4 linked regions of the Pelodiscus sinensis genome follow. The protein of the gene in region 1 purifies or fractionates together with the protein of each later gene. This does not show direct contact. Links are inferred from orthologs where the notes say so. Each region holds a gene or a part of one and is shown in the gene's direction. Other genes may lie near its edges. The genes, in order: RBX1, EEF1A1, FBH1 and COPS7A.

Region 1 (7,355 bases):
GAATTTTTGTTTAAAATTTTCAGTCTTTACTTTGTGGTAAGGTTGACTGTGCTCCTTTTCTGCATTTGCTACCACTCACTGTATGCTCGTCTCTCTTGCAATCCTAATTTTATGTATCCAGTTTCCTTACCATAATAACGGGAACTGCCTTTCCTTGCAATCAACAAGTAACTGATGGCCAACAGTACGCAGGATGAGGATGACCCTATCCAGAATCAAGGGTGAACCTCTTGCTACATAAGCATGTCAGTTCTCAGCACAAGAAGAGGATGCCCTATTCCATTTATTCCCCATTCCTTACCTGCATAACATCCAAAGGCATTCTCTGCATTCCTGACATAGTTCTGATGTTTCCCCTCTGCCAGGTACACCAGTGCTTAGCCTTCAAGGTTTGCCCACCACTGCTGGTTTTTATAGAGCTGTATCAGAAGCCTTAACTTCTTCAAGGATCATTCCATTTATTTCAGGAGACGCACTGCCACAGCATACAAGACAGGATATACTGGCACAGCAGGAGCACAGTTGGGCTTTCAAATCACAATAGTGAGCTGGGACTTAGCATTGTGATGTACTTTGGTCCTACCGGATAAATACAAATTACTGGCAGCTCTTTAGCCTCTATTATCCCAAATAAAGAGACGTGGCTGGGATCTCAGTTCCCTCTAAGGTGCATGCCTCTGCGGCCATGCATGAAGAATTCTAGGCCTGCCCACCTCATCTGCAGGGCCTGGAAAGTGACTGGCGAGGTGGGTTCTAGCTCCTACAGCTGCCATGTGGCCTGCTGCTCTGGCAGGTGGGGCTGGGGCCGCATGGTCGATGGCTGCTCCGGGAGCTGGGGCCAGGACTGCATGGTGGGTGGGTGGCTGCTCCGGCCAGCTCTGGCTGTGGCTGCATGGCAGACAGGAGGCTACTCCGGCCAGCTGGGACCAGGGCTGGGGCCATGTAGCAGGTGGGTGGCTGCTCCGGCTGGCCGTCCAGAACCGCGACCATGGCTGCGTGGCGGATTGGTGGCTGCTTCGGCCAGCCAGCCAGAACTGTGCCTCCCATCTGTGTCCCTTCTAGTCTGTTTTTCTCTTCCCTTTTTTACCTCCATCCCTTCTCCAGCCACTTCCCTGTCGTAAGAATTCTAAGTAAGGCTATAACATTTTGACTAACCAGCCTACCAAACAAAGAACTAGGATTTCTCTTCTCATGCCCCCTCTGGCATTACTCCAGATCCCCCACCCTTTCCCAATATAATAACTGTGAATTGTTTTGCTCAAATAATGTTGCAGAAGAAAATCAGAATTTAGGAAGACAGCAAAAAGTATTGGGATGAAACAAGGAACCAGTCCTATACCACTGAAGTTAACTAGAGTTTTGCCATTAACTTAAAAGAATGCAGATTAGAGCTCAAATGTTGTGGCTTCTACCCTTTGCAAAATGGTTATTAAGGGTATCTGAAAATAGTTTTCTTTCTGTATCTGTTGTTAGGTAAGATAGTCAAGCATGATGTGACTGAGTTTAAGTTCGCGGTTCCGGACGGTCATACTGTGTACAGATGTGGTTTCCTCACCTCAAAAAAGAAATTTTGGCCTTGGAAAGGGTTCAGAAAAGGGCAACTAAAATGATTAGGGGTTTGGAATGGGTCCCATATGAAGAGAGGTTAAAACGACTGGGACTTTTCAGTTTAGAAAAGAGGAGACTGAGGGGGGATATGATAGAGGTATATAAAATCATTAGTGGTATGGAGAGGGCGAATAAAGAAAAGTTATTAGTTCCCATAATAGAAGAACTAGAGGACATCAAATGAAGTTAATGGGTAGCAGGTTTAAAACTAATAAAAGAAAGTTCTTCTTCACACAGCGTGTAGTCAACCTGTGGAACTCCTTGCCAGAGGAGGCTGTGAAGGCTAGGACTATAAGAGAATTTAAAGAGAAGCTAGATAATTTCATGGAGGTTAGGTCCCTAAAAGGCTATTAGCCAGGGGATAGAAATGGTATCCCTGGCCTCTGTTTGTCAGAGGCTGGAGAAGGATGGCAAGAGACAAGTCACTTGATCATTGTCTTCGGTCCACCCTCTCTGGGGCACCTGTCAGCAGACAGGCTACTGGGCTGGATGGACCTTTGGTCTGACCCAATATGGCCGTTCTTATGTTCTTATGTAATCTAAACTTCCACATGTACCAATTGGACAAAATATGCCTGTATGGTTTGTTTAGTCATTAGATCATCTGCTAAAAAATTCTGAACTCAAATTAACATTAATATAAAGCTGTCATATTCCATTATGCTAGATGTACATCGCTATACCTCAGTTTCCCCTCTGTAGAGTTGTGAGGTCACGTGCATTAGCGATTGTGAGGAGGTCAGACACTGGAGTGAAGGAGGGCAGTGTGAGTTCCTTGATAGACAGACTGCATATGTCCCATTGAGGCTGGGGGAGCTCCATTAACACAGGCTGTGTAAACCTGAGCTCTGATGCCTTCAGGAAAGAGTCACGCTTCCCTCTGTTGGTGTAGCTTCTCCCTACCTGGCTGTGGGTCTCTTTCCATGTTCTCCTCACATTGGAACTAACCAGCCCCTTGGGTCTATCTCATGCCTTGTCCCTCATTTGTCTCCTATGGTCCCGGGGGGGGGGGGGGGGGGGGAGAATAGCTGCAGCACAGTGTTAATTATACTTTTAGTATTCTTTCTTCTATAATGTTTATATCTAAAGATATTTGTTAGTAACTGGTGGGTGCCAGTGACACACATCTGAACATGCACACGGGACCTCAATATTGGTGCACAAGACAAAACTTACTCTGCTCAGGATGGAAAATCTTAGCGGGAACACTGGATGGGATGTCATTCAACACTGCAGTGCTCCTTATTCAGTAACCAGAAGTCACTGCTCAGCTACACAAAGTACAAGGCACCTGGAGGAGAATTTAAACACGTTGCCTCCCATAGCATTCCCAACACTCACTTTGAAAGGAAACAAAGACTGAACAATTTTCCTGGCCCTGGGGCAGTATGCAACAGCCTAAAGTCACCAAGGTGAGATTTTTTTTTCCACTGAAAAATGTGCTTTGCAAATACTTGTCAGAGACAGACTGAGCCTTAGGGCAGGTCAACACTAACCCATGGAGGCATCACAACTGAAAATGAGCTAGACCAGCATCAATCTAGTGCAGCGGTGGCCAACCTGTGGCTCGCGAGCCGCATGTGGCTCTTCAAAGGAAAAATTGCGTCTCTTCTCACAGTCCCTTGCTCTGACCTTTTCTTCCTTGTCTGGGCAGGGCGCTGCTTGGCGCAGCAAGATCTGATGCTGCGGCTGACAAAGGCCTGCTTGGGCCACATGTGGCTCTTAAAGGGGCAGCAGTTTTTTTGGGGGGAGGGGGTTGTTTGTTTTTTGGTTTTTTTTTGCACAACAACTTGTTTTCCTCGGCTTTTTGCGCTGTATCCACCACTATTTTGGCTCTTTGTAATGAGTCGGCCACTCTGTTCTAGTCTCCTGCATGGTAGCACAGAGCCTTTGCCAGCCACCACTGTCCCCTGCTGACAGGGAGGCACTCTGAAAGGCCATGGGAAGCTGCGCGTGTTTGGAAGGAGAAGATTTACATTTTTTTCGAAAGGCCCCTTTGGCAAAGAGGAGCCCTGCTGAGTATTTTAGTGTGACTCGAAAATGCTCATTGCTAGGGGCACAACCGAGTGGGTGCAGAAGACTGATGGGCAGGACTAAAGGCACCCAACTCTGCCTTCTCGCCAGGGCAGCACGAAGCGCTCAGCACCCGACTGGGCCGGTCACTCTCCTGCATGTCGGCTTCTGGAGAGGAGCTAAGCGCCGGGGAGGCAGCAGCGCCGGCGGCGGGCAGGGCTCCGAGCAGCAGCAGGGCGGCCCAGGCAGGTGCATGTGTGTGGACGGGCACAGAAAGGAAGATGGAGGCGCAGAGCCCAGCGCTGCCCCACTGCCAGCTCCCCGCTTTGCAGCGCAGAGCGGCGAACAGCCTCCGTAGGCACCGGCCCGGGGCAGCCACACGCGGCTCGGCCCCGCCGCACGGAGCCCCGGCCGGTTCCAGCACGAAGCTCTGGGTCGAGCGCGGCCCGCAGCTCTCTCCAGGGCGGGGCAGACAGAGGGGAGGGGCGGGGCGGGGCGCCCACCAGCACCCCGGCTCTCGGGCGAGAATTCTTGCGTCGCCCTTTAAATGCTGCTGCCGGGTTCATTCCATCCCCCCGCCCTAAAGTTGCGCAATTCTGTCATGCGGGCGGGGGAGGCTGACTAGGGCTCCGCCCTGGCTGGCGCCTTTAAGAGCTCAGCGTCACATGATGCTTCCTTGCGATCTTTCCCCTCTCCCTCCCTCCCCTCACACCTGTTTGCGTGCGGGGCGGGGCGAAGGGAAAAGAACTGTCGCGAGTCTTTGGCCCTTTTCTCGCGCATGCGCACTCTAAGGGGCTGGGAGTCGGGTATCAAAATGGCGGCAGCGATGGATGTGGACACCCCAAGCGGTGCCAACAGCAGCGCCAGCAAGAAGCGCTTCGAAGTGAAGAAGGTGTGGGTCTCCGGCGGGCGCCGCCCTGGCAGCCGCGGGAGAGGAGGGGGGAACGGGGCGGTAGCTCCGGGGCGAGTTTTGGTCTCTTCAGAGGCCGGCTCTCCGGTTCCGCACTACGCACGAGTGGGCGGGGCTCTGGGTTTCTGGCGCAGTCCGGGGCCAATAGCTGAAGCGGGGTGACTGTACGTGGGGGACGGAGGGACCAATCAGTGGCGCTGTTGTTGCCGGGTGACAGCAGCGTGTGGGGGCGGGTCTGTGTTAGGGAGGTGTCCGCTCTGTTACAGGGAGTGGGCGGTGGCGTCCCCCCTTGAGGGCGGGGCTGCGCCGCGGCTCAGCCTGTTCCGTCGGGGCGATGCTGCGGGGCCGGGGCGCGGCGAGGGGGCGGGAAGTGTCGCCCCGAGGGGACGTGGCCGTGGGCAGGCTGCCTGGCGCCTCTGGTGTGGCCTTGAGCCAACGCGCAGCCACCCGCCACGGGCCCTCGCAGCCGCTTTTAGTTGGGTGATGTGAGGACGCTCCCGCCCTGAGTGGGTCTGGTGGCCGGGTGCGGGCGCTTTCTCCCTGATCCTGAATTAATTTTCGGCGTGGCGCAGCCCCCCGCCACCCCCTCTCCTGACGGCGCTGCTGTTCTTCTGCCGCAGGCCTTGGTTTCCCTTTCCCACCCGTTGACCTTTGCTTCGAAGCCTATCCAGGAGGGAAGACGTGTTTGTTTCTTTTCCTCTACCCCCAAAAACAAATCGTCAGGGACCCAGCGAGCATGGCAGCCCAGGAGTGGGCCCTGAGTAATAAAGCTTAATGGTGCCCCAGTCCTCTGTCTCCCTCAGACACCTGAGTGGCAGCAGTGGTGGCTGCCCCGTGCCAATACTGTGCAGTTTTCTACATGACTGTGGGTCAGACTGGTGTATGCTCAGTGAAGTTTGTCTTAGGTGCCCTTCATGTCAGAACTCTCCTTACTCGAGTCAAAGCTCCTAGTCATAGGCTTATTGGGTACTCTAGCCTTGCCCTATGGGCATGAATAACATCATCACCAGAAATTAAGACTAATAGCTGATTGGACCAGCTTCTTTCCTCCTTTATAGCAATATTGGATTTACTGAGCTAACAGAAGTAAAATAATCAATAAAATCCAGATTTTTTTAAACCATAAAATTAATAGTTATGACTTGAATACATCAAGTCTGCTGAGTAAAAAGGCTTTTACAGGTTTGCACAATAATTAATTCTCAGTTTAGAATCACACTTTAATGATAGAAAATACAGGACTATGTAGCACTTTAAAGACTAATAAGATGGTTTATTAGATGATGAGCTTTCGTGGGCCAGACCCACTTCCTCAGATCAAATAATGGAAGAAAATAGTCACAACCATATATACCAAAGGATACAATTTAAAAAAAATGAACACACATGAAAAGGACAAATCACATTACAGAACAGAATCATAGAATAATAGGACTGGAAGGGACCTCGAGAGGTCATCGAGTCCAGCCCCCCGCCCTCAAGGCAGGATCAAGCTCCGTCTACACCATCCCTGACAGATGTCTATCTAACCTGTTCTTAAATATCTCCAGAGAGGGAGATTCCACCACCTCCCTTGGCAATTTATTCCAATATTTGACCACCCTGACAGTTAGGAATTTTTTCCTAATGTCCAATCTAAACTTCCCCTGCTGCACTTTAAGCCCATTACTCCTTGTCCTGTCCTCAGAAACCAAGAGGAACAAATTTTCGCCTTCCTCCTTGTGACACCCTTTTAGATATTTGAAAACCGCTATCATGTCCCCCCTTAATCTTCTTTTTTCCAAACTAAACAAGCCTGGCTTCATAGGTCATGTTCTCTAAACCTTTAATCATTCTTGTCGCTCTTCTCTGTACCCTTTCCAATTTCTCCACATCTTTCTTGAAATGTGGCGCCCAGAACTGGACACAGTACTCCAGCTGAGGCCTAACTAGTGCAGAGTAGAGCGGCAGAATGACTTCACGAGTTTTGCTTACAACACACCTGTTGATACAACCTAGAATCATATTTGCTTTTTTTGCAACAGCATCACACTGTGAAATTTCCCCTTCCCCACCTCTATTATCATTAACTCACTGGCATTCACCTTCCTTCTCCTCCCCCTCCCCCCCACATCCTCCTTCTGTTCTGTAATGTGATTTGTCCTTTTCATGTGTGTTCATTTTTTTTAAAATTGTATCCTTTGGTATATATGGTTGCGACTATTTTCTTCCATTATTTGATCTGAGGAAGTGGGACTGGCCCACGAAAGCTCATCATCTAATAAACCATCTTGTTAGTCTTTAAAGTGCTACATAGTCCTGTATTTTGTTTCAGCTACACCAGACTAACACGGCTACATCTCTATCACTTTAATGATAGGACCATGTATGTTCTTGGACCAGGGAGTCCTAGTTGCGAACCCCAGTGGCAAGAGGGCTGGCGGCTTGGAGCTTGGTGGGGTTGGGGCTGGCGGCTGGGGCTAGCAGCGGGGAGGGAGGGTAGCAGGGGACCTTTTCTGGTCTGTCAAATTCCATCATTTGGGGCCAGTTAGGTCCCGAAAGTGCTAGACCAGAGAGGTCCAACCTGTATTCAAAAACCTACACTGGAGCCGCAGATAGGCCATCCAGTTCTTTGTGCTAGCTCTCATGACATTTGAAAGAAGGAACTTGAGTGCAGCATGGCATATTTTAACTAGTTGATTGTCATTGTGGTGGCAGTGGTGACTTATTAGTAGAGCTGCTGCATATGGTCATCCCTAATGGTAACTTATTGGTAGGGCTACTGCTCATTGTGGTATTTTCCATTTGGTCAAGGAGATCTGAATTGGTTTTCCAGTACGATTCT
Region 2 (7,639 bases), on another chromosome or scaffold:
GGTTGGTGATCACTGAGTTAAACAGATGAGTTTCACTTAAAATGTCTTGATCATTATCTTCTTGTTCATTTCTTACACCCTTTCTTATTAGGTTCCTGGTAGGGCTAGTCATGGAGAAATACTGCACAGTGTGTAAACTTTCTGTATCTTTTCACTAAAAGATAAGACTTGTCATACTGGATCAGCTCAGAATTCCATCTAGTCTATTGACAGTAGCAAATGCCATCTACTTGAGAGGAAGGTGCAAGAAAACCTGTGGTGGATACTTATAAAATAACTTGCCACCAGAAGTTTCTATTTATCAGTCAGTGGAGGAAGGATTTAAAAGTATCAGGAACTGAATATTTGAATGGTCAGACCTGAGTGGTTAGACTATTAGAATACTTTGCACTTACACATACAAAAGCATTTGACTGATATTATTCCTATTTTTCAGATGAGGGAAGTGACATGAAGTCATTGCAGAACATGGATTGGATGTTGCACAGTGCGCAGCTTACAATAAACTGCTCCTAGAAGACCTAGAATCTAGATCAGCTCCTCCCCAGTGTTTATTGGAACTTTATTTTCCTCACCTTTCATCTTTCTCAATCATATCTGCCACCAGCCTGAAGGCTGAGAAACTCTTTTTATGCCATGTGGAACTGAGAGATCACTTGAAATTACAGCAACAAATTAAAAATTATTGCAGATACTGGATGAATTGGGGAACCAATGGTTGGACAGAGAGCTCTTTTACCTCCAAGACTGATGGCTGAGTGTTCAGAAAATACTGCCTATTTGACTGGTGTAGGAATAAATTGAGTAGACTTTCTAGGAGACACTATGTAGAACTCTGACTACTCTTGAAAATAGTCACTTATTTGCATGCTTAATATGGACTCTAGACCAGTGGTCTCCAACTTTTTAAAGCACAAGATTACTTTTTCAATGTAAGTCAATCCAGGATCTACCTTAAACCCAAATACACTTGCCACCACCTCCTTCCCCCCTACCTTCTTGGAGGCCCTGCCCTGCTATACTCTTTCTCAGAGGCCTCACCCTGCCCACTCTGTGGAGATGTGGTACAGAGGTGGAGAGAAAGGGAAACCCTGACATCACCACTGCCTTTTCCCCCCTCCCCCACCCGCACAGCAAGCAGGAAGATCCTGGGGTGCAGCTCCAAGGCAGAGGGCAGGAGAATCATAGTAGTGGGGGGGAGAGGCAGCCAAAATGCTGGCAAGTGATAACCTCCTAGACAAACCGGTTACGTTTTTAAATCAGTTAAAAAGCAAATAGCTGTTTATGCAAGAGCTTCCACTATTTCAAGCCCTAGTGGAACTGACCTGATGGTGGCAACCAAAGGATATCTAAAGGAAAAACAAAGACTATCCTTTCTCCATACAAGTTTTTATTCCCTTCCCCAGATTTGTTTAGAAAATGATCTTATAGGCTACATCTACACTGTAGCCTTCTTCCGCAAAAGCTTATGCAAATGAAGCACAGAGTGGAATATTGCTGCGCTTCATTTGCATAATTAATTAGCAGCCGCTTTTGCGCAAGAGGTTCCTTTTTTTGGCGTAGACGGCTCCTTTTTGTGGAAAATCCCCCTTTTGCGCAAGAGCCATTCTTCCTCATTTTTTCAGGAAGAACGGCTCTTGCACAAGAAGGGGTTTTTGCATAAAAAGGAGCCGTCTACACAGCTCCTTTTTGCGCAAAAGCCTCTTGCGCAAAAGCGGCTGCTAATTGATTATGCAAATGAAGCATGGCGATATTCCACTCTGCACTTCGTTTGCATAAGCTTTTGCAGAAGAAGGCTACAGTGTAGATGTAGCCATAGAGTGGACAAGAGCAGTCTTTATGGATTGTGGTCATTCCAAGCACAACTAAGCACAGCTCCAACAATGTGAGTGTTGAATAATATGTCTCCAAACTAATTACATGAAGAATTTCAGTATAAAACATTGAAAAATATACCCCCGTCATAATCCGTGGTCAAATTCAGTTAAAATGATTGCTAATGCATGTCTCCGTAATATGTGATAATCCATTGTAACACCTCAGTATGATTAAACTAAACTGTAATTCTTCAAATATACTCATGTACACATACCATGCAATAGTCACATAGAAGACTATTATCTAAATATGGTTAAATATCTACAAATACATTGAAAATTCCTTTGATTACCCAAAATCTCAAATATCCATTTGCTAAATGACAATGACAGGAAAGGTGGTGGTATTGAAGCTGCACCTTTATTTCAACATGTGCTCTGCTAATTTCTAATCTGCTTTAGTTTCGCGGGCTGGGAACCCTAATAATATGATGTACATCAGTCTCAAAATTCAATGTCCTGTGAAGTGCATCACAGATTCCCCAGGTAATAAGAACACTCTTGAACAGCTTTCACAACCATATTAAAGCAAAGTTTTACGCTAATGGCTGCGTCTAGACTTCCTGCTTTTGTGGAAAAACTTGCCAGCTGTCTACACCGGCTGCTTGCATTTCCGCAAGAACACTGACGATCTCATGTAAGATTGTCAGTGTTCTTGCGGAAATACTATGCTGCTCCCGTTAGGGCAAAAGCCCTGTTGCGTAAATGCTTTTGCACAAGAGGGACAGTGTAGACAACGCAATATTGTTTTGCGCAAAAAAGCCCTGATCGTGAAAATGGCGATCGGGGTTTTCTTGCGCAAAACCATGTCTAGTTTCGCACGGACGCTTTTCCACAAAAAGTGCTTTTGCAGAAAAGTGTCCGTGCCAATATAGACGCTCTTTTCCGCAAATGTTTTTAAAATGTTTCCGTTAAAAGCATTTGCGGAAAATCATGCCAGTCTAGACGTAGCCTACTGAGTGTCTATTCAAAAATGACAACACACATAAATATAGGGAGCAGACCTCATGAGTATTCAGTGATATCTGTTTATTCTAGTGAGCAAATTAAATCTTTGCTGCAGATAGCACTGCAAATTTGTGATATTTGTGCAAATAAGTGCCTTTGTCACAGAGAAGGAATCAAACAGTTGTTTTTATTCAGAGGGTCCAGCTAAATTCATCTATGGAACCCCACAGGAGAGAATAGCATGCATGCAGCACCACAAAATATATGTAACGCAGAATCTTATTACTAATGGCGATGCATAAGAAAATCCCAGCTTGACTTTGAACGAGGAAGACTGAGAAAAATAATCTTTTAATTTGTAAGAGCTTGTATACACCTGGAATTGTACAGAAATAACTATTTTGGAAGAGAGTCTCTCTTTGGAAGAGTAATGGTGTTAGTCTGTAACTTCAAAAACAATAAGCAGTCCTGTGGCATTTTAGAGACTAACAAATATATCATGAGCTTTCATGGGTAAAATCCACTTCATAAAATGGGTATTTTGGTAGAGTTAGTCAACAGGTGAATCCTTGAATTTCTGAAGTCCCAGTTTAGCTTAATTTATGCACTAACCAAAAGCAAGGAACACTTATTCTGGGGTAAGAATGTCCATGCATTGATTTACTCAGGTTTCAAATTCACACACACCTTCCTTTAATTCAAATTAATTTAAAAATGCTGACAAGCCCTAACGTAAGCACACTTAATCCAGAGAAACAATTAATAGTGGAACCTTAAGTTGTCCTTTTTATAAAAAGCTGTTGTAGCAGTGTTGGGCCCAGGATAGTAGACCTAACAGATAGTACCTCTTACAGGACCAAGTTCTGTTGATGCAGAATAAATTTTATGTGCACCATGGCATGTGCAGACATGAATCTCCAAAAGAAACACATGCTGCAAGCTGTTGGAGGCTGTGGGCGCTGTGCTGATCAGCTGGATGGTATTTAAATTTCATATGCAGCTCCCCAAGTGCTCAGTTTAAAGGGAACACGGGTGCATTGGGTGGGGGTAGGGGACTAAAGTAGTATGGTGTTTTCAGCAGATATATAAGGATAGAGTAGCACAGGTGGCGGAAAAGGTGATTTTAACACGGAGGGAAGCGTCATGATCTCTGGGGATCAGGAATAATGAATGGGATGGAAAGGGGCAGTCGGTGGAACATAAGGAAAGCGGGAGATGAAGGCGAGGCTGCACATACCCAGGGTGGGTAGGAGAGCTTGAACGTCTGAAGGGGAAAGCAAGTAGCTATGGTGACTAGACAAGAGGACTGGGCGCCTGGGAGCTTGTGTGAGAAAGAGACGGGCTGCGGGGCACGGGGAGCAGCTGGAGGAGGCGAGTGCCGAGGGACGGTGCGTGGCGGGTAGCACTGCGCGGGCTGCTGTCCCGGGACAGGCCCATGGGCAGGGTCTGGGGGGCAGCGCAGGGGGATGGGACACAGGCCAGGAGATTCCTTCCCCCCGACTGCCCTGCCCTGGTGACCGTGTCTGAGTAGGAGCAGGTCACGCTCAGAGAGGGGGGAGGGGCTGCCGCGATTCAGGGCGCGCGGGAGGGGTCATCACCAAATTCCGAGCGGAGACACCCAGCGGGGCTGCGGCTGGCAGCGCCCCCTGTCTCGCAGCGCGCAGAGATATTTGTCCCGGCTCCCTGCCCAGCCCGACGCCAGCGGCGGTGGGAAGGAGGAGCGAGTGGAACGCTGGGAACGGTGACGTGTCCCGGAGGCTCCGCCCTCGCACAGGATATATAAGCGCAGCGGCTCACATTGTCGGTCTTTTTCGCCACGGGTTTGCCGACGCTTAGCAGGTGAGAGGCGGCCGCGTGGAGCAGGCCTCGGTGGGGGGAGGGGTAGGCCCGCCCTATGTGGCTGGAACAATCGAGCGCGAGGCGCATGGTGGTTGAATGCAGCCTTGAGCGGGGAAGCTGCGGCGCGTGCTGGGGCTGGCGATAGGCAAGGGAGCCGCGAGACGATGGGGGCCCTTCTGTGGGCGGGGGGGGGTTCACAAAATGGCGACGTGGCCACGCGCTGCCCCCGGTGGGTAGCGTATGGAACCCGGACTGGGGAATCCCCTTCGCGGCGCGGGAGGGGGGGGGAGGGCTCCCCATCTGCCGGGCGGTGTGGGCCGGCCAGACGTGCGGGGGGTGGGAGCGGGGTCGCGCTCCCTAGTGCGGGGCCGCTCCCATTCCTCGCCGCCCCTTTCAGCGAAAATGGCCGCGTCTCCCGCACACGCGCCACAAAATGGAGGACGCGGCGGTCCGGGCGGAGTGAGTCAGTGACACAAAGAGCCGGGCCGGCCGGCGCTCGCCAGGCCGCATGGCCGCTCTTTCGCTCGCGGTGGGAGGGAAGCGTTTCTCGCCTTGTGTGCCCCCTCCCTCGCGGGGTGGGCGGAGCCGCGGCCCTCGAGTGCCGCCTGGGCCTAGTCGCGGCCGCCACGCCCTGCGCCGGGCGCCGCCCCGTTAGCGGCGCTCGGGCCCGGGCTCATTCCTGCCGCCTTTTCCCTGCCTAGGAGTTACCCTTGTAACGCGAGAGCGGCCGCCGCGAACCACCCAACATGGGCAAGGAGAAAACCCACATCAACATCGTCGTGATCGGCCATGTCGACTCCGGCAAGTCCACCACCACCGGGCACCTCATCTACAAGTGCGGGGGCATCGACAAGCGAACCATCGAGAAGTTCGAGAAGGAAGCCGCGGAGGTACCGCCACTAGCTTGCTTGCAGTGCAGAATGGAGGCTCAGCAGCTGGGTGTGGTTGCTCCAGGCCACAGTTGGTGAAATAGCACCTCTTTTAAACTGCTGCAGACTGTAAAGATAAATCCATCCGTCCGGACTGGGAGAAAAGACCTGACCTAAGTACAGCAGGGATTTTCAGAGTTCCCAGCCTCTGGCAGGGGTTTCAATTAGACAACACTAAGCTGCTCTGTATCAGCAACTGTTAAATCTAGGTTTTTTAAAGGCTGAGCAATACATGGCTCTTGTACCACAAAGAGCACCAATGAAAAGCATTACAACAGACTGCATCTCAAACTTGAGTGACAAGATTACCCTAGCCAAAAATTGCCCCAGGGTAAATAGTACATACTCTAGCTGTGGAAGAGATTACAGTACTATGAAAACAAGAGCTTATAGTGGACACTTGATACAGCCTTGGCTCTGCTTGGTCTAACTTTAAGAGATGTATTAAATATAATTAAGAGATTGAGGGCCAATGTGGTGTCAGGTCAAATACCAGAAAACAGATGGTATTTCTCACCAGTGATGCCAAATGTATTCAAGCCAAAGTGCTCTTAGCATTACAGAAAACTAGCTGCAATGGAAGCTCTTTACTACTTTGAGATGTTCCCACTAGCATTGGAAATAATTTAAACTGCTATAAAATAGTGCAAGATGTACTAACACACTTTTTTAAACACCTGTAGATGGGCAAAGGTTCCTTCAAATATGCCTGGGTTTTGGACAAGCTGAAGGCTGAACGGGAGCGAGGCATCACAATTGATATTTCTTTGTGGAAATTTGAAACCAGCAAATACTATGTCACCATTATTGATGCTCCTGGACACAGGGACTTCATCAAGAACATGATTACTGGCACCTCACAAGTATGTAAATGTGAATTCAGTTGGGTTTGTTATCTATTTGTGGTCCATGTAAAAAACTAATTATCCTCTTCTCCAAAGGCTGACTGTGCTGTCCTTATTGTTGCTGCTGGTGTTGGTGAGTTTGAAGCTGGTATCTCCAAGAATGGGCAGACTCGTGAACATGCCCTTCTGGCTTACACGCTGGGGGTAAAACAGCTGATTGTTGGTGTGAACAAGATGGATTCCACTGAGCCACCATATAGCCAGAAGAGATATGAAGAAATTGTCAAAGAAGTCAGCACTTATATTAAGAAGATTGGCTATAATCCAGACACTGTAGCTTTTGTACCAATTTCTGGTTGGAACGGGGACAACATGTTGGAGCCTAGCTCTAATGTAAGTTTGCATTTATTTTGTATATCAATTGAATTGAAAAGACTGCCAGAGTGAATTGTCACAATAATATGCATTTGAATGGAGATTAAATTGTTAAACTTGTCAGATCAAGGCAAGTTTCAATGTTTCACAACTTAAGATACAAAGAAGAAATACTCGTAAATATTCAGATATGTGAATAGGAAGGACACAAGTTATGTTTGTGCTGCTTTTTGTTTAGATGCCCTGGTTTAAGGGATGGAAGGTTACCCGTAAGGATGGCAATGCAAGTGGAACTACCCTGCTAGAAGCTTTGGATAGCATACTGCCACCAACTCGTCCAACTGACAAGCCTCTGCGCCTGCCTCTGCAAGATGTCTACAAAATTGGCGGTTAGTATTTTGTGTGAAGACTAGTTCTGTAAATTTGTCAGTTTGCTAGTGACATTCCAACCCTTAAACTGCAGAAATGGTAACATTTGTCAATCTTTGTATAAGTTTAAGTTGTAAGAAATAAACATCCTAGAGGGTTTTTTCTTTCAGGTATTGGTACTGTACCAGTTGGTCGTGTGGAAACTGGTATCCTGAAACCAGGCATGGTGGTAACATTTGCTCCTGTCAACGTAACAACTGAAGTAAAATCTGTTGAGATGCATCATGAAGCTTTGAGCGAAGCTCTGCCTGGTGACAATGTTGGTTTCAATGTCAAGAACGTGTCTGTGAAAGATGTTCGCCGTGGTAATGTTGCTGGTGACAGCAAGAACGACCCCCCAATGGAAGCGGCTGGCTTCACTGCACAGGTACTGTTTGGAACCATTTGAAGGTCTTTG
Region 3 (7,259 bases), about 86 Mb from region 1:
ACTGGTTATCTGATTAAGCAGAATTTTGCATCCCTCGTGTGGAGGTGGATACCAATTTTGTATCTGCACAGGGCTCTACAAGTATGCACTGTTGCTTTTGGAGTTCTTACAAATGAAAGATGCTATGGGACTATAAGATATCAATGTAGCTGCATTTATTGTATGAGACAAGTATCGCACGTATTGTGTCAATGTCAACAATCCTTAACTGACTAATGATTTATAATTATAACAATTAGGTCAGTACCTCCTATTCATGCTCTAATGTCAACATTACATATTAGCTGAGAACTCCAGGGTGCCTTATGTGATGGAAATCTTTTCCCTCCACTACTTTGGTGAATAATACAGCTTCAGGCCCTTGCCATATAATTTTACACTGATGCAGCAATTTTCATCTGAGAATATTATTATTTGTATTAGCATATCATTATTTGTATTATCAGGTCCCCATTCTGCTAACCATTGTAACTGTTTTCCACATATCAATTAATTAAGGCTCATTATTAGCTGCCCATGAATTTCTCATTCCCTCTGCCTTTTAGTTTCAGTGCTCATTAGATTTTAAAGGCAAGAAAACCAGCACAATTTTACAGGGGTCATTCAGTGAGTTAGTGGGAGATCTGGATTAGACCTTGACCTATGTGCTAACTCGACAATTCTTCCTCCCAAACACATTTCAAAAACTAGCGAGATCCTACAGTGAATCATAGAATCATAGGACTGGAAGGGACCTCGAGAGGTCATCGAGTCCAGCCCCCCGCCCTCAAGGCAGGACCAAGCTCCGTCTACACCATCCCTGACAGATGTCTATCTAATCTGTTCTTAAATATCTCCAGAGAGGGAGATTCCACCACTTCCCTTGGCAATTTATTCCAATATTTGACCACCCTGACAGTTAGGAATTTTTTCCTAATGTCCAATCTAAACCTCCCTTGCTGCACTTTAAGCCCATTACTCCTTGTCCTGTCCTCAGAAACATGCCTGTGACCTACCAGTCTGCCTTTTTCAAGCAGTCTATCCTTGCACCTTTATCCAATAGATACAACACGCAGTCCCTGTGACCCATGGAAGCTGCTTCATGGAGGGGCCTTTTGTAGTCATTATTAACCATCTCAATGTCCATTTCCAAGGCTTCTACTAAATGGACCAGAATGTTCAGGTGACCGTGCCTGGCTGCATAGTGAAGTACAGTGTCGGCAGATTTCCCATAGTGTTTCCGCCTCACTTCCTTGCTCGTTTCTTCGTCTTTCTGCAACTCCTCTTGGAAAAGGTCTAGCCTGCCTTCTTGAATCAGCCTGAGAAGTTGTTTCTGATTTTCTGCTTCTGCCATGGAGAAATGTGCGGCTCCTAAGACATTCAAAAACAGCAACAAGAAGGTTTGAGACGGGGAGATTTCAGAATAAAATGACTGATGAGATTTTAAACGCTACTTGGAAAATCTATGATAATAAAAACAGCCTTAATATAAAATCCAAAACACGGGTTTCTCCCACCAAATGAATCAAAGCTGTCAAGTGTCTGATATCTGGCATCACAGGGTTAAAATGTTCACAAGAAAACTCAGACGTGTATGCTTGCGAGCCAGTGGATGTGCAGTGTCATAAAAAAGCTTTTAGGAATAAAAATACTTCCCCCTCCCATAACTGAAAACACAGTAAATAAAAAACATCAGTATTGGATCTTATGCATAAAGACAGCAATTATTATTTAATACCCGGATTTTCAACAGTCAGCCATAACATTATCCTGTTACCAAAGGTAAAAAAAAGGTTGTGGGGTCAGCTACACAAAGTGAAAAAGACCCCAGCTACTCATGTGTCACATTAACATGATTAAAAGCTCACATCAGATACACCAGCGTCCACTGAAGGCTGCTGGAGCGGCTGCTGCAGGGGCGTGCAGCACTGAATTCCTTCCCCTAACACTGGCTGTGTTCTTTTGGACAAATAGCGTTTGCCCTGACACTTTATTTTAGGAGCACTGTGCTCGCTGCTTCCAGGCAGGGCTATTGGAACAGAGCTGCTTCCCTATCTCAGATGGATGATTTAAATCTGCCTTAGCAAATGGATCAGATTAGGCAAGTGGGTGGAGATGAAACTGGCAGGGGGCCATATGCACATGTCCCATCTTGGCAGGGGGCCCATATCCATATGTCCCATTTTGGCAGGGGGATCATATCCATATGTCCCATTTTGGCAGGGGGCCATATCTACATGTCTCATTTTGGCAGGAGGACCATATCCATATGTCCCATCTTGGCAGGGGGCCCATATCCATAGGTCCCATCTTGGCAGGGGGACCATATCCATAGGTCCCATCTTGGCAGGGGGCCCATATCCATAGGTCCCATTTTGGCAGGGGGCCCATATCCACAGGTCCCATCTTGGCAGGGGCCCATATCCACAGGTCCCATCTTGGCAGGGGCTTTTTTAAGGCATGTTCTGGTGGTACCGACCCCCCCCCCCCCCCAAGGAGGCATTTATCCCGTCTGCTCTTGCCAGCTAATGAAGTTGCCAAGCGCAAACAGGACAAAGCCTCCTTTTGGGAAAAGAAGGGGGGGGGTATGGGAGAAAGCGGCGTGAAGGGAGGGGCCAGCCCCTTGTAGGGGAGAGGCGGGGGGGGGGGCTGCCGAGTCGCAGCGACTGGCAACAGCACTGGGCGGGGGGGGCAAGGGGGGGGTCCCATTTTCTCTTTGGCACCGGGGCCCGCTGCAGCCCCTAACGCAAGTCCCCGCCCGGCTGGGGCAAGTCCCTCGGCTCATCGCCTCCTGCAGCTGAGAGCGGGGCCCCCGCCTGGGGCGGGCCCACCGAGGGCATCGCCATGGTAACGCTGCCCCCCGCCCGCCTTGACCCCGCCCACACACCGCGGCGTGACGTCACAGCCCGCGGGGGACGCCCGGCGCAGGGGGAGAGTGGACAGCGGGCGGAGGAAGTAAACAAACTCCGGGAACGTTTTCGCTCGTCCCTCGGGGCCGACGTGGCCCCGCCCCTCCCGGAGCCACGGCGGGGCTGGTTGGGCGGCGCCGAGCCTGCGCGCTCTCTGATTGGCGGGCGGCCGAGTCAGTCAGCGGCAGGGGCGGGCTCCCAGGAAGTCCGAGCGGGGTACGTGGGCAGGAGGTCGGAGTCGGGACGCGGCGCTGCCCCCGCAGGCCCCGAACGGCGGCGGGACCAGAGTGAGGCGCCTTGGGGGGCGGGGCCAGGGCCTGTGGGGATCCGCATTGGGGGCGGGGCTAGGGCCTCGGGGCGCATTGGGGGCGGGGCTTCAGTTTAAGGGGGCTCCGTAGTGGGCGGGGCTAGGGTCTGGGATTGCATTGGGGGCGGGGCTAGGGTCTCAGGGCGCATTGGGGGCGGGGCTTGGGCCGGAGGGGGCTCGTATGGGGGGCTCGGGGCGCATTGGGGGCGGGGCTTCAGTTTAAGGGGGCTCCGTAGTGGGCGGAGCTAGGGTCTGGGATTGCATTGGGGGCGGGGCTAGGGTCTCGGGGTGCTTTGGGGGCGGGGCTTGGGCCGGAGGGGGCTCGTATGGGGGGCTCGGGGCGCATTGGGGGCGGGGCTTCAGTTTAAGGGGGCTCCGTAGTGGGGCGGGGCTAGGGCCTGGGATTGCATTGGGGGCGGGGCTAGGGTATCGGGGCACATTGGGGGCGGGGCTAGGCCAGAGGGGGCTCGTATTGGGGGGGGCTTGGGGCGCATTGGGGCGGGGCTAGGGCCTGGGGCGCATTGGGGGCAGGAGCATTCCATGGGGTGGGGGTGTTCACTGGGGTGGGGGCTAGGGGGCTGGGTCGATGGTGGGAGGGGTCTGTATTGAGGGGAAGGGTTGGGCCTGGGGGGCACTGTGGGCGGGGATTGGGGTAGAGGGGTATTACGCATTGGGGACAGGGATCAGGTTCTGCTTTGGGGCCAGGGGTAGGATCTGGGGTGGGTTTGCATTGGGGGCCAGGAATAGGCATGGGCAGGTAAAGGCAGTTAATGCCCTGGGTGGAGTTCCCAAGGTCATGGCCAAAGCAGAAGTAGCCGCTTGATCCTGTTCTCTGGGATATTTAAGATCTTGAACCATTGAAGCAAATAGGTTATGATTTATTGATAATAATGATTAAAGTTGGACTAGTTCCTTTTCCCAATTTGAATTCTGTGTCTACTCTCCTAATAAGAGAGAAATAATTTTTAAGTGGATTTTTTTCAAAGGATCTCATCTTGAAGAGCAAATATTTCCTCTGTAGACATTTGCTTCTGGTATGTTTTGGGACAGCAAAGTGGTGGTTGTATAAGGCATTACATACCCCAGGGGTCTTTGCTAAAGCTCTTAGTGGTGTATGTAATAGTTCTGAGGGGAGGAAGACATGAAAGAAAATGACTTGACCTTTGGATGCTAATTGAAGCCAAAAGCACTTACTCGCTTCATGGATATCCTGGGTATGGTTTCTGGTATGGGATATCATTCTCTGATTAAAAACTGAAGCCAAGTAAGCAGTGTGGCTTGGAGGCTTTTACTGCATCTGGAAGGATTATTGCACATGATCATTAACTCATAATTCTATAGCTGGACATTAAGTTATCTATCCTTGCCAGTCCCTATTATCAAAGTAGATGGTATTGTTGCACATATGCATTTACAGTAGAACATTTAAATATTGCTCGCAAGATTTTCTAGTTAACTGACAACTGTAGAGGTAAGAGCTACACTGCAAATATATCTGAGTAGGGGCCCAGTTACGAGTTTGCAGTTTTGAGTGTAGACTGAAGTTTAACAAGTCTGGAGTAAGGATGTTAAAATGCGGTTAATTGACTAGTTGACAGGCACTTCCGCATTCCTCCTTTGAAATGTACAAGAGCCCCAGCAGTGGCTCTTCTACATTTCAAAGGAGGAATGCGGAACTCCTTGTACAGCCTGGGGCCAGCGGAAATCCCGCTGACTCTGGGGCATGCCTGCTTTGAAATGTGCATTTCAAAGTCATGGAGCCTGTGGTCAGCAGGGGACTCTCAATCCACAGCAGCTGCCCCTTTGAAATGCACGGAGGCAGTGTTTTAAAGGGGCAGCCGCCACACAGCTGATCCACGTATCAGTTGTGCAGCGGCTGCCTTGGGGTTTCATAAAGTCCCCCCTCCTTTGCAGCAGGGGGAGGATGTCGACTAGTTGACTAGTCTTTAACATCCCTAGTCTGGACATGTCCAACGCTTTAGCTTTTTTGTGCAATTGGCTTGAAAACCCATCTACATTAGATTATTTTTTCGATTGTAACCAGATCCCAAAACGTTGCTCAGAGGTGTAGAAAACTCACAGCTCTGAGAAATGGAGTTAAACTGACCTAAACCCAGGTGTGGACACGTCTGTTTCTATTGATCTAGCCACTTCCTGTCCTGGGGGCAAATTTACTACATCACTGGCAAAACTCCTGTCACTACAGTAGCTGTCTGTGCTACAGTGACGTAGCAATTGCTTACTGGAGGATACCCCAAAGTTCTGTACGGTGATGAATGAGACACCAAGAGTGATGTTACTGTGTAAACTTAGTCTGGGACAGTACAGAGTGTCTTGATGTTTTATTTTACTCTACAGAATATCGTCAGGGGTCTGCATATATTTCTGCATAGGCAATTGAAAGAAGGTACATTGGTTCAATGTTGGGATCATCCCATAGAGCTAGGAAACTAATTGGCTGTAGGTGTGTACCAAAGGCACAGCATGTCACTTGAAAACAAACATCAATGTAATTGAATTAACAACCGTGCAATTTGCTTTTCACGTTGGTGACAGTGAAACCATTTAAACAAAAGCGCCTCACCGCCAGCGACTGTGAAGCCTTCAGGCAGAGCAGAGAAGGCTCCTGTTCCCTGACACAGCCTTTCAGTCAAAGACGAGTGAGCAGAGATCTAAACAGAGGCCTCTACCCAACATACAGGACCAAGAGATCACAAGAAGGTAGAGTGTTTCTAAACAGGTTTAAGAGCTGAGAGAGAGAGAAAATGTTAATATCAACTCTGTGCAACAAGTAGAATTTAACCCCAATTTCTATGAGCGGGTACAGAGGGAAGAGCAGCGGGAAAGGGCTAATTGTCCACAAGGAAAGAAGTTGATTGATCCATATTGTAATCACCCATATTGTAGTCTAGTAAAGACCCACTAAATCGAAAGCTGAGGGCCTCCTTTGACCATAGTACTCCTAGTAAGGGAAGTTGATAGAAGCGTTTCTCCCATTGACCTTCTGCTGTGGGGCTGCCCCAGAAAATCAGTGTAAGGTAAGTCGACTCCAGCTATGCTGTTGTCATAGCTGGAACTGCGTATATTACATCAACTTTATCTGCCAGCGTAGGCCTGGCCTCAGCGTCAGGAGTCTTTTCCCCTCCCAAGAAGGGGTGAGTCCTACACCAAGCCTGGGTTAACTCCTGTTTTACCCCAACTTCAAATCCCCCCTGCCTTTCTCTAGCTTTGAAAAGCTGAAGTGCGCACACCAGCCTCGGTAGGCCAGCCTGCTTGCTGCCAATGGGAGCTCTAAGCAATAGATACTGCAGTATCCGCATTTATGGAATAGTGATAGAAATGTAGCCGTGTTAGTCTGGTGTAGCACTTTAAAGACTAACAAGATGGTTTATTAGGTGATGAGCTTTCGTGGGCCAGACCCACTTCCTCAGATCAAATAGTGGAAGAAAATTGTCACAACCATATATACCAAAGGATACAATTTAAAAAAAAGTGAACACATATGAAAAGGACAAATCAAATTTCAGAACAGAAGGGGGATGGGGGGGGGAGAAGGTAAATGTCTGTGAGCTAATGATATTAGAGGTGATAATTGGGGAAGCTATCTTTGTAATTATCTTACCCATTACAAAGATAGCTTCCCCAATTATCACCTCTAATATCATTAGCTCACAGACATTTACCTTCCCCCCCATCCCCCTTCTGTTCTGAAATTTGATTTGTCCTTTTCATATGTGTTCACTTTTTTTTACTTGTATCCTTTGGTATATATGGCGGTGACAATTTTCTTCCACTATTTGATCTGAGGAAGTGGGTCTGGCCCACGAAAGCTCATCACCTAATAAACCATCTTGTTAGTCTTTAAAATGCTACATAGTCCTGTATTTTGTTCCCGCATTTATGGAGACACTCCTGCATATTCATTATTTAATACGCCTTCTTATTTAATTAGATCTCTCGGTGTTTGTTGTCTAATACTCTGTACCAGCTTCCATTCAGGGATTTCAGTGCACTTAATGGCATTAACGAATACATGCTCACAGCCTCTCAGTGAAGAAGGGAAC
Region 4 (7,631 bases), about 49 Mb from region 1:
GATTTGATTGATATTTCCTTTCTTACTGGTTATATGCACCACCTTATGTTACAGCTGCGTATTTACGTTTTTGTGCTCCAGGAGCCTAATATGAATAATTTAGTATTTAAGGTATTTAGAGATAAGCGAAGGCATTTTGTCATCATGGATGGTTGGCTGGTGGTCCGTGGAAAAATTTTCATTGAGTGGGGTGGGCCGTTGGCCAAAAAATTTGAGAACTACTGAGGTAGATCAGAGGGCATTTGGGTCTTGTCAACATCTGAAATGTGTACCAAATGTAACTACATACTAGTAATGTTAAAGTTGTACAATCCCTTTACAATACATGCAGTTACATTAACAGAGTTGCTTTAGACAAGAATAGCTAGTCCCATACAAAAAGGGAAATAACTCTGACAAGTATGCCATTGTTATACCTGTGCAACTATGTTCACTCTATGGCTTTTATTCTATAAATCAAACCTAAGTATAAACAGTTATACCTATGACACTTTCAAGTGTGGACCAGACTTGGGAACCTGTTCCTGACCTTGTGGGTGGAAGGGTCTAACTGTTGCAAATGTAGCCTCCCCACAGGAATTTTAGGGGCAAAGAAATTAGTTTTAAGAGCAAGATGGATAAATTCAAAGTGTGATTATATGATGGGGTTGCTTGTGACAGGAGAGGAGGAAGGATCCACAGCCCTCAGACTCACTTCTGGTTTCTTTGTTATCGTCCTATAGCTCATGCTTCAGGATTTCAGCTGACTGCTGGCAGGGTCAGGAAAAGATTCCCCCTCCCTCCCATGCTTTTTGGGAGAGATTTTTAAAGCTCTTTCCAAAGCACCAGGGATGGCCATGGCTATGATGGGATATTGGGAGGGGGAGCAGGGCTTTGCGGTGATACCAACATTCTCCCTCTCAAGTGCTGGATTGGCAGGTTCTTTCTCACATGCTCAGAGTCACTGATCATCATCCTGTAGGGTCACTTGTTCCCTGCACAAAATTCTTTGTTACACACACACAGGGGCTATATCTACATTGGCATAATCTTGCACAAATACTCTTTAATGCAAGAGTTCTTGCGTTAAAGTATTTGCGCAAGAGAGCATCTACAGTGGCATGTGCCTTTGCGCAAGAGATGTGCTTTTGCGCAAGAGCATCCGTGCCAGTGTAGACTCTCACTTGCACAAGAAAGCTCTGATGGCCATTTTAATCATCGGGTTTTCTTGAGCAAGAAATTCATGTTGCCTGTCTACACTGGCCTCTTGCGCAAGAACAGTTGCACAAGAGGACTTATTCCTGAGCAGGAAGATCATAGTTCTTGCGCAAGAAGCACTGATTTCACACATTAGAACGTCAGTGTTCTTGCGCAAGAACTCCCCACCAGTATAGACAGGCAGCATGTTTTTGCGCAAAAGCAGATGCTTTTGCACAAGATCACACCAATGTAGACACAGCCTGGGACACAACCACCTTCACCTTTCAATGGACTCAAGACATAAAACCCTTTCATTTAGGCCCTCCCACCCTTTCCCAGTTCCTAGGGCTCTGGGTATAAGGCATTCAACTTTATCCCTTTGTGGGCTCCAAGCTCTCTCTCCCCATGGGGCCTAGGGTATAACATGCATTCCCTATGGACTCAGGATCTTCAGGGTTATGGCTCTTTTACAAGTGAAAGAGCCTTATGCAATAATATGTTTAATCTCTGTTTATGAACAGTCACCAAAGCAGCATAAACACGCTTAGCATACAATGCGCACCACTCCCAATAAAACCGATGCACTTTTCTTGCTGGCCAGCCAGGATCAGATCATCTGGGGATTTCAGCTTCTGCATGGTGTGATTGACAGGGTGTGGAGGTCTGGGAGCTCTGGTGTTGGGGCTGTGTTCTGTAGCTGGTTCCAAAGAACTTCCTTTTGGACCTAAGTTTACATAGTGAAACTTGAGTCTCATTTAGCAAACCCAGGGCTATTCAACTTTGGAAGCCCCAGGGGCCACAATGATATGCACAGCAAATGCCGACGGTGGTTGCAGACATGCAAATATATATGCAAATAGCTTCTTTCATATTGATGGGAATGAATACAAAGATTAAGGCAAGACTACACAACACGCAGGCCCCATTTAAGTCAGTTCTGCTGATATTAATAAAATGCAACATTTACCCAATTTCCACCCATATGACAGAACTTTTAATGAGCAATGACAGTCCAGGAATTTAACTACTAAAACTCATCTCAACAGAAGACCATGATACTGACTACTTTTTTATTTTGGCTCCCACTCGTGGGCCACGTGTTGAGCACTGCAGAAATCCATGGGCCACATGTTGAGTAGCCCTGCCTTAACCAATCATTTTACTAAAGTATTAATTAAACAATTTTCTATCTAATTCTAACACATTGTAAAACAATTCTTTAACCAATCATTCCCCACCACCACACAGAGGTGTCCTTAGGCATATGCAGCTGGATAGGGAACCATTAAATTTAGGGCATCTATCCTGCATACGCCACAGGATGGTATATTAAGCAGCCATGCTTCATTGGCTTTGGCAGTCCCATCAGTCCCATTCCCCAGCTGATTCTCCTCCCATCCCGCCTCCCCCTCCCCCGGTAAGCTCAGCACTGGCTCCAGCACCCCTGCCCTCAGCTGGCCCTCCATCCCATGAGCTGTGGACCAGAGGACATTGGAGGAGCAGGGGCAGCCACACAGCCAACTGATGGAGAGAAGCAGCCATTTCCCCTTCAAAGCACCACATTTGTCTGGCTGGCAACAGAGCTGCCTGCCCTCTGTTCCTCTAGCTTGTGCTTGCACTGCCCATGCCTCCTACTTGCTACTCTGAGGCTGTAGGCGAGCCTCCCTCCCTGCCCTGCTCCAGGGTTGCCAATTCTCCCAGACGAGACACCAGTGCAGCAAATGGCATCCTGTTCAAGAGAGTTGGCAACCCTCTGCCTTCCACAGTGTGGCACCAGCACCGATAAGAATGACCCTGCCGCCATAGTTGATTTACACTTAGCAAAATTAGTTATATAACAGAAAGAAACAATTGAAGAACCAGGCAGAGACCATACAGATAGAGAAGTGGGAACCATAAAAACAAAACAATAAAGAAGTAGAGATTTCACAGCCACAACCACTGATAAGTGTTTTATTTCCAGAAAGAATGCTATCAACGTTTTCTTTAACTGACTTAAGATCTGTTTCTTTATTGGCTGATGGTGGATACACTGTTGGAGCAGGATCACTTCCTTAATGGCCTAATTACATTGCTTTACTGTAATTTAGCTGGAATGTGAGAACCTGACTTTCTACTTCTTGGCTCGTGGCTGTTCAAAAAAGGTCTCAGGCCGTTTTTCCGACAAAACTTGAGGCACACCCACACTGCAATTGCATTCGTCCGCAAGAAAATCAAAAGAACAGAGGGGTTTTTCTGGCATTTGTAATCCTCATTCTATGAGGAAGAAGCCTTTTTCTGAAAGAACTCTTTCACAAAAAGGTGCGTATGGATGGGAAAAAGGGAGTTCTTTTGGAAGAAGAGGAAGGAGGAAAAAGTACAGGTACCCTGGTGGCCATTCTGGCCATTGCAATCACAGCTTACATGCGAGTCTGGGCACTATCTGTCAAAAAAGCAGATTGCTTTTTAATGCGCTTTTGCAGTGTGGATGCTCTTTCAGAAGAAGTTTTTGCAGAAGATCTCTTCTGAAAAAAGCTTCTTCCGAAAGAAGCCTGTAGTCTAGATGTAGTCAGAGTCAGCCCTTACAACATGGCTGCAGGAAAAGGTCTGGGCCTTACGCAGGAAGGAATTTCCACTCAGGTCACAATGGCCTTCCTCTACTGCATGTTTGCAGGTCTCTTGCCATGATTATCTAGGTATGTGTCACTTAATCATTTCCCTGCGTTGCAGCAGGAAATCGGACACTGGTCCCTCCTATTCTCTGCCTGTGCAAAGATAGTCCACTGTCTGTTTTGGTCTAATGTTGCTTGTTCCCTTTAGTGTGTAGCTCCTGGGTGTGTTGGTGGCCTGTGCTACCAAGGTCAGAAGATAATCTGGTGGCTGGGCCCTTACGATTCCAAGACTCACTGTCAGGACGCCTGCGACCTGTCTGTGTGGCGGGAGCGGAGCTGTGGCGAAGGGGGGCCGGTTTAGTCAGGCTGAGTGGTTTGGGTCTGTGGGTGAGGTTGCACCTGCCCAGGTTTTCACAGAATCACCCTTTTGGTAAGTGGCTGGGCTGGCAAGTCGGTGCGGGTGCCCGCTGCCTAGTGTTGCGGAATGGGAGCATCCCGCACGCCCTGCTGCTCGTGCCGCAGCGGCAGGCCTGTCCCAGGCGGGCTTCCCGCGCCCGGCGCTGTGCGGGAGGCGGTGCCGCGACCATGGCAGCTTGTCGCTCCCGCAGCAGCGCGCAGGGCGAGTGCTGGGCTCGCGCCTCTCCAGCGGCGCCGCGCGGCTGCCGACAGGGGCACCTCCCCGCTGCGGGCTGGTGCAATGGCAACCGCGGGCCCGCACAGCGCCAGTGTCACTCAACTGGGCCAATCGCAGAGCGGCGGAGGCGGGAGTAGAGCGGCACAGACCCAATGGAGGGGAGAGAGAAAAGAGATGTGGGAGTGGCCTGGTGGCTCCCTGACGTCGGAAACCCGGAAGTGGCCGATGGGGGGAGGGGAGTGCCATAGAGGGGGCGAAAAGCGCTAGTTGCGGGAGGGCCCGAACCCCCCCGCGGGCAGGGGCGCCCCAGCTGGGAGCCCGGCGGGGCGCTGCGCACGCGCCGCTCTGCAGCCCGGGTCCGGCAGCGCCTGCTCTGCCCTGAGCGCGGCCCCGGCCCGGCCTCTCTCCGCCCCTGTCCCCGCGGCGCCGGCGGGCCGGGCCGGGCATGGCAGCCGAGGGGAAGGCGGCGGGGCAGAGCCAGGAGCAGCTCCTGCTGCTGGCCCGCTCGGCGCGCGGCGCGGCCCTGGCCGGCCTCATCCACCAGGTGCTGGAGGCGCCCGGCATCTACGTCTTCGGGGAGCTGCTGGATCTGCCCAACGTCCGGGAGGTGAGCGCCGGGGCAGCGGCCGGCGCGGGGCTGGAGGAGGTCCGGGCGCTGCGGCGGCTGGGGGGGAGCGCTTCGTGGGGCTGCCCCGGGAAGGCGCAGCCCAGCCTGCCCGCGTGGGCGTGGGAGTAGCAGTGGGCTGCTGCCCGTGGCCTCCAGCGCCCGCGGGTTACACTGGGGGTCGGGGGCTCCCCCGCTATGCCCCTGCCAGCCTCCCGGAGTCTGCCCGCCCGCCGCTGTGCGGCCCGGGAAGCGCCTGCCCGCCCCACGCAGCTGTGTCGGCGGTAGCGACAGCACCCGAGCGTACCGCGTGCTGGGGGTGCGGGGTGGAAGAAAGCCGGGATTCGAGGCGCCCCCTGCACCTGGGGCAGTGGCCCGGCCGTGGCGTGCCAGGTTTCTCGCCGTTGTACTGAGTGCTCTCTCCCCTGCAGCTGGCTGAGAGTGAGTTCTCCTCCGTCTTCCGTCTGCTCACGCTCTTCGCATACGGGACCTACTCGGATTACTTGTGTAAGTGTGTCCTTCTCCTACAGCCCCTAGCCTAGTGCCCCGGCGCCTCCCGCTCTCCTGGGAAGCAGGCAAGGTGGATAGGTTTGCCAGCTTTCTAACTGCAGAAAACCAAACACCCTCCTCTACTGCCCCCTTCCTTGATCCCCCTTTCACTCCATCTCTCCCCATGCTCACTTACTCATGCTTGGGAAGGAAGGAACAGGAAGGGGCTTTGGCTGCTTACTCCAAGTGGCTCCCAGGAAGCAGTGATGTGTCCCTCCAGCTCCTAGGTGGATGGGGTGGCCAGGGAGCTCTGTGTCCTGTCCCTGTCCTCAGTGTCTTCCCCCAGAGTGCTTATTGACCAGGGGGAACTATGGGTGCAGCACATGGTGTCTCTGTTGTTGCCCTACCCCCTGTGAGTCAGAGGAATGTGTCTCCACTTCCTGGGAACCAACTGGAGCCAGGCAAAGAACCTGCCAACTCCACCACCTGGCCTTTTAACGACCCAGTCAGTAGTGCTGACCCAAGCTGACAGGATACCTTTCGGCTTGCATGTTCCACTTGAAAACTGGCAATCCTAAAGATGGGAGGGGAGAAGGGCAAGTAACTGACTCAGGGTTCAGGTTTCAAAACTGGTCAGGGCAATTTTGGGGATGCAGAAGCCCCATATTGCAGCCCAGGGAGGGAATAGTGTTTTTTCTCTATAGTTCTGGGGGAGACCCCATGTAGGATACTTCTCAGTGTTGGACCTTCCATTTGCAGAAAAAGAGTGACAAAGTTGAAGGAACTCACCAACCTATTGAAATGCTCAGAGGGGAAAAGGGGTCCTGCAGCAGCACAGGCTGGTGGATAGGGCATTGCCTAGAACTCAGGAGACTGGGGTTCTCTTCTCGGCTCTACTACTGCACTTGCTGTGTGGCTTCAGGCCAGTTGCTCTTTCTGCGTTATGTCCCTTTTTAGACTGGACGTTCATTGTAACAGGCAGGCTCACTTGCTCTGTGTGCGCGCAATGGCTAGCTCAATGGAAGCCTGACTTTGTTGGGGTTCTAGATGCTTCTGGAATTCAAATAATACAGGTGGAGTTCTGGGTGGAGATTCCACGTGTACAACACTTCCATTTGGCTTCATGGCTCCAGTTAGGTGAGGAATGAGGGGTCTGATTATGAGGGCCATCTGCCAATGGTTAGGGATGTGGATGAAGAGAAGATTTATTTAGGGCTCATCTGGGAAGTGAGGAGCAGGAGGAGCTGGGTGAGACAGATTCCAGGAGAAGGCTTCCTCCATGCAGAGCTGTGTGAGAGCTTTAGGAGATACCTTGCAGAGGGTACGTTAGAGACTTTGAGGAATGGATGTGGGGCAAAGGACCCTAGCCAGAGACTAGAAGAGGTGAGATTGGACAGCTCCAACTCTAACACCGTGCTCTTTCTCCTGAGAGCAGCCGAAGCTGGAAACCTCCCGCCACTGACTGAGGCTCAAAAGAACAAGCTGAGGCACCTGTCAGTGGTCACTCTGGCTGCCAAGATCAAGGTAATGGCTTAGTCCCCCTCCCCTTTCTTGTTGGGGTTGTCCCATACTAACTACCTTTGCTTTCCACAGTGTATCCCCTATGCAGTGCTGCTGGAACAGTTGCAGCTGAAGAATGTGCGGCAGCTGGAGGATCTAGTTATTGAGGCTGTGTATGCGGATGTGCTGCGCGGAAGCCTGGACCAGCGCAATCAACGCCTTGAGATCGACTACTGCATTGGGCGGGATATCCGCAGGGAGGAGCTCAGCACCATCACACGCACGTTGCAGGAGTGGTAAGGACGAAGCCCCCAAGGCCAGCTCCCTTCTCCCCCCAGAATGTCGGAGTGGTGACAAGCCTCTTCCATGGACTTTTAGGGTGGTGAGGAGGTGCTGACATGGAAGGAGTGGTGAGGAGATCTCTCCTAACCCGCCATGATCTACAGATGGGACACCCACACCTGCCCATGTTGCAGGAGTGCTATTGAGACTTCAGACCTATGGAGTCACTGAGCGCCCCTAACTGCACATGTGCTGCAGGACTGCTGACAACCCCAACTTCAGGCAGCTCTCAGTCCTCTTGTGGCCACAAGTAGGGAGGAGACTCCTCCAAATATGGGAAAGAAGCTTCTCA

Evidence for each region.
Region 2: the proteins of RBX1 (region 1) and EEF1A1 purify together in Homo sapiens (affinity purification with western blotting; 3 studies listed by BioGRID, with this or other methods). This does not show direct contact. The link is inferred for Pelodiscus sinensis from reciprocal best matches to the Homo sapiens genes RBX1 and EEF1A1.
Region 3: the proteins of RBX1 (region 1) and FBH1 purify together in Homo sapiens (affinity purification with mass spectrometry; 3 studies listed by BioGRID and IntAct, with this or other methods). This does not show direct contact. The link is inferred for Pelodiscus sinensis from reciprocal best matches to the Homo sapiens genes RBX1 and FBH1.
Region 4: the proteins of RBX1 (region 1) and COPS7A purify together in Homo sapiens (affinity purification with mass spectrometry; 3 studies listed by BioGRID and IntAct, with this or other methods). This does not show direct contact. The link is inferred for Pelodiscus sinensis from reciprocal best matches to the Homo sapiens genes RBX1 and COPS7A.

Annotation. Positions count from the first base shown.
Region 1 is NC_134711.1:89,607,902-89,615,256, reverse strand, and holds the start of RBX1 (E3 ubiquitin-protein ligase RBX1), read left to right. Parts: upstream 1-4,355; 5' UTR 4,356-4,399; coding exon 4,400-4,513; intron 4,514-7,355. UniProt on the Homo sapiens protein: E3 ubiquitin ligase component of multiple cullin-RING-based E3 ubiquitin-protein ligase (CRLs) complexes which mediate the ubiquitination and subsequent proteasomal degradation of target proteins, including proteins involved in cell cycle progression, signal transduction, transcription and transcription-coupled nucleotide excision repair.
Region 2 is NC_134713.1:54,087,880-54,095,518, reverse strand, and holds the start of EEF1A1 (elongation factor 1-alpha 1), read left to right. Parts: upstream 1-4,635; 5' UTR 4,636-4,664; intron 4,665-5,365; 5' UTR 5,366-5,410; coding exon 5,411-5,554; intron 5,555-6,276; coding exon 6,277-6,456; intron 6,457-6,534; coding exon 6,535-6,831; intron 6,832-7,051; coding exon 7,052-7,202; intron 7,203-7,352; coding exon 7,353-7,609; intron 7,610-7,639. UniProt on the Homo sapiens protein: Translation elongation factor that catalyzes the GTP-dependent binding of aminoacyl-tRNA (aa-tRNA) to the A-site of ribosomes during the elongation phase of protein synthesis.
Region 3 is NC_134711.1:3,369,477-3,376,735, forward strand, and holds the start of FBH1 (F-box DNA helicase 1), read left to right. Parts: upstream 1-4,254; 5' UTR 4,255-4,396; coding exon 4,397-4,409; intron 4,410-5,751; coding exon 5,752-5,916; intron 5,917-7,259. Other genes in the region: ANKRD16 (ankyrin repeat domain-containing protein 16), read right to left, coding at 996-1,350, 1,718-1,745. UniProt on the Homo sapiens protein: 3'-5' DNA helicase and substrate-recognition component of the SCF(FBH1) E3 ubiquitin ligase complex that plays a key role in response to stalled/damaged replication forks.
Region 4 is NC_134711.1:138,490,547-138,498,177, reverse strand, and holds the start of COPS7A (COP9 signalosome complex subunit 7a), read left to right. Parts: upstream 1-4,614; 5' UTR 4,615-4,849; coding exon 4,850-5,011; intron 5,012-5,439; coding exon 5,440-5,515; intron 5,516-6,932; coding exon 6,933-7,021; intron 7,022-7,090; coding exon 7,091-7,293; intron 7,294-7,631.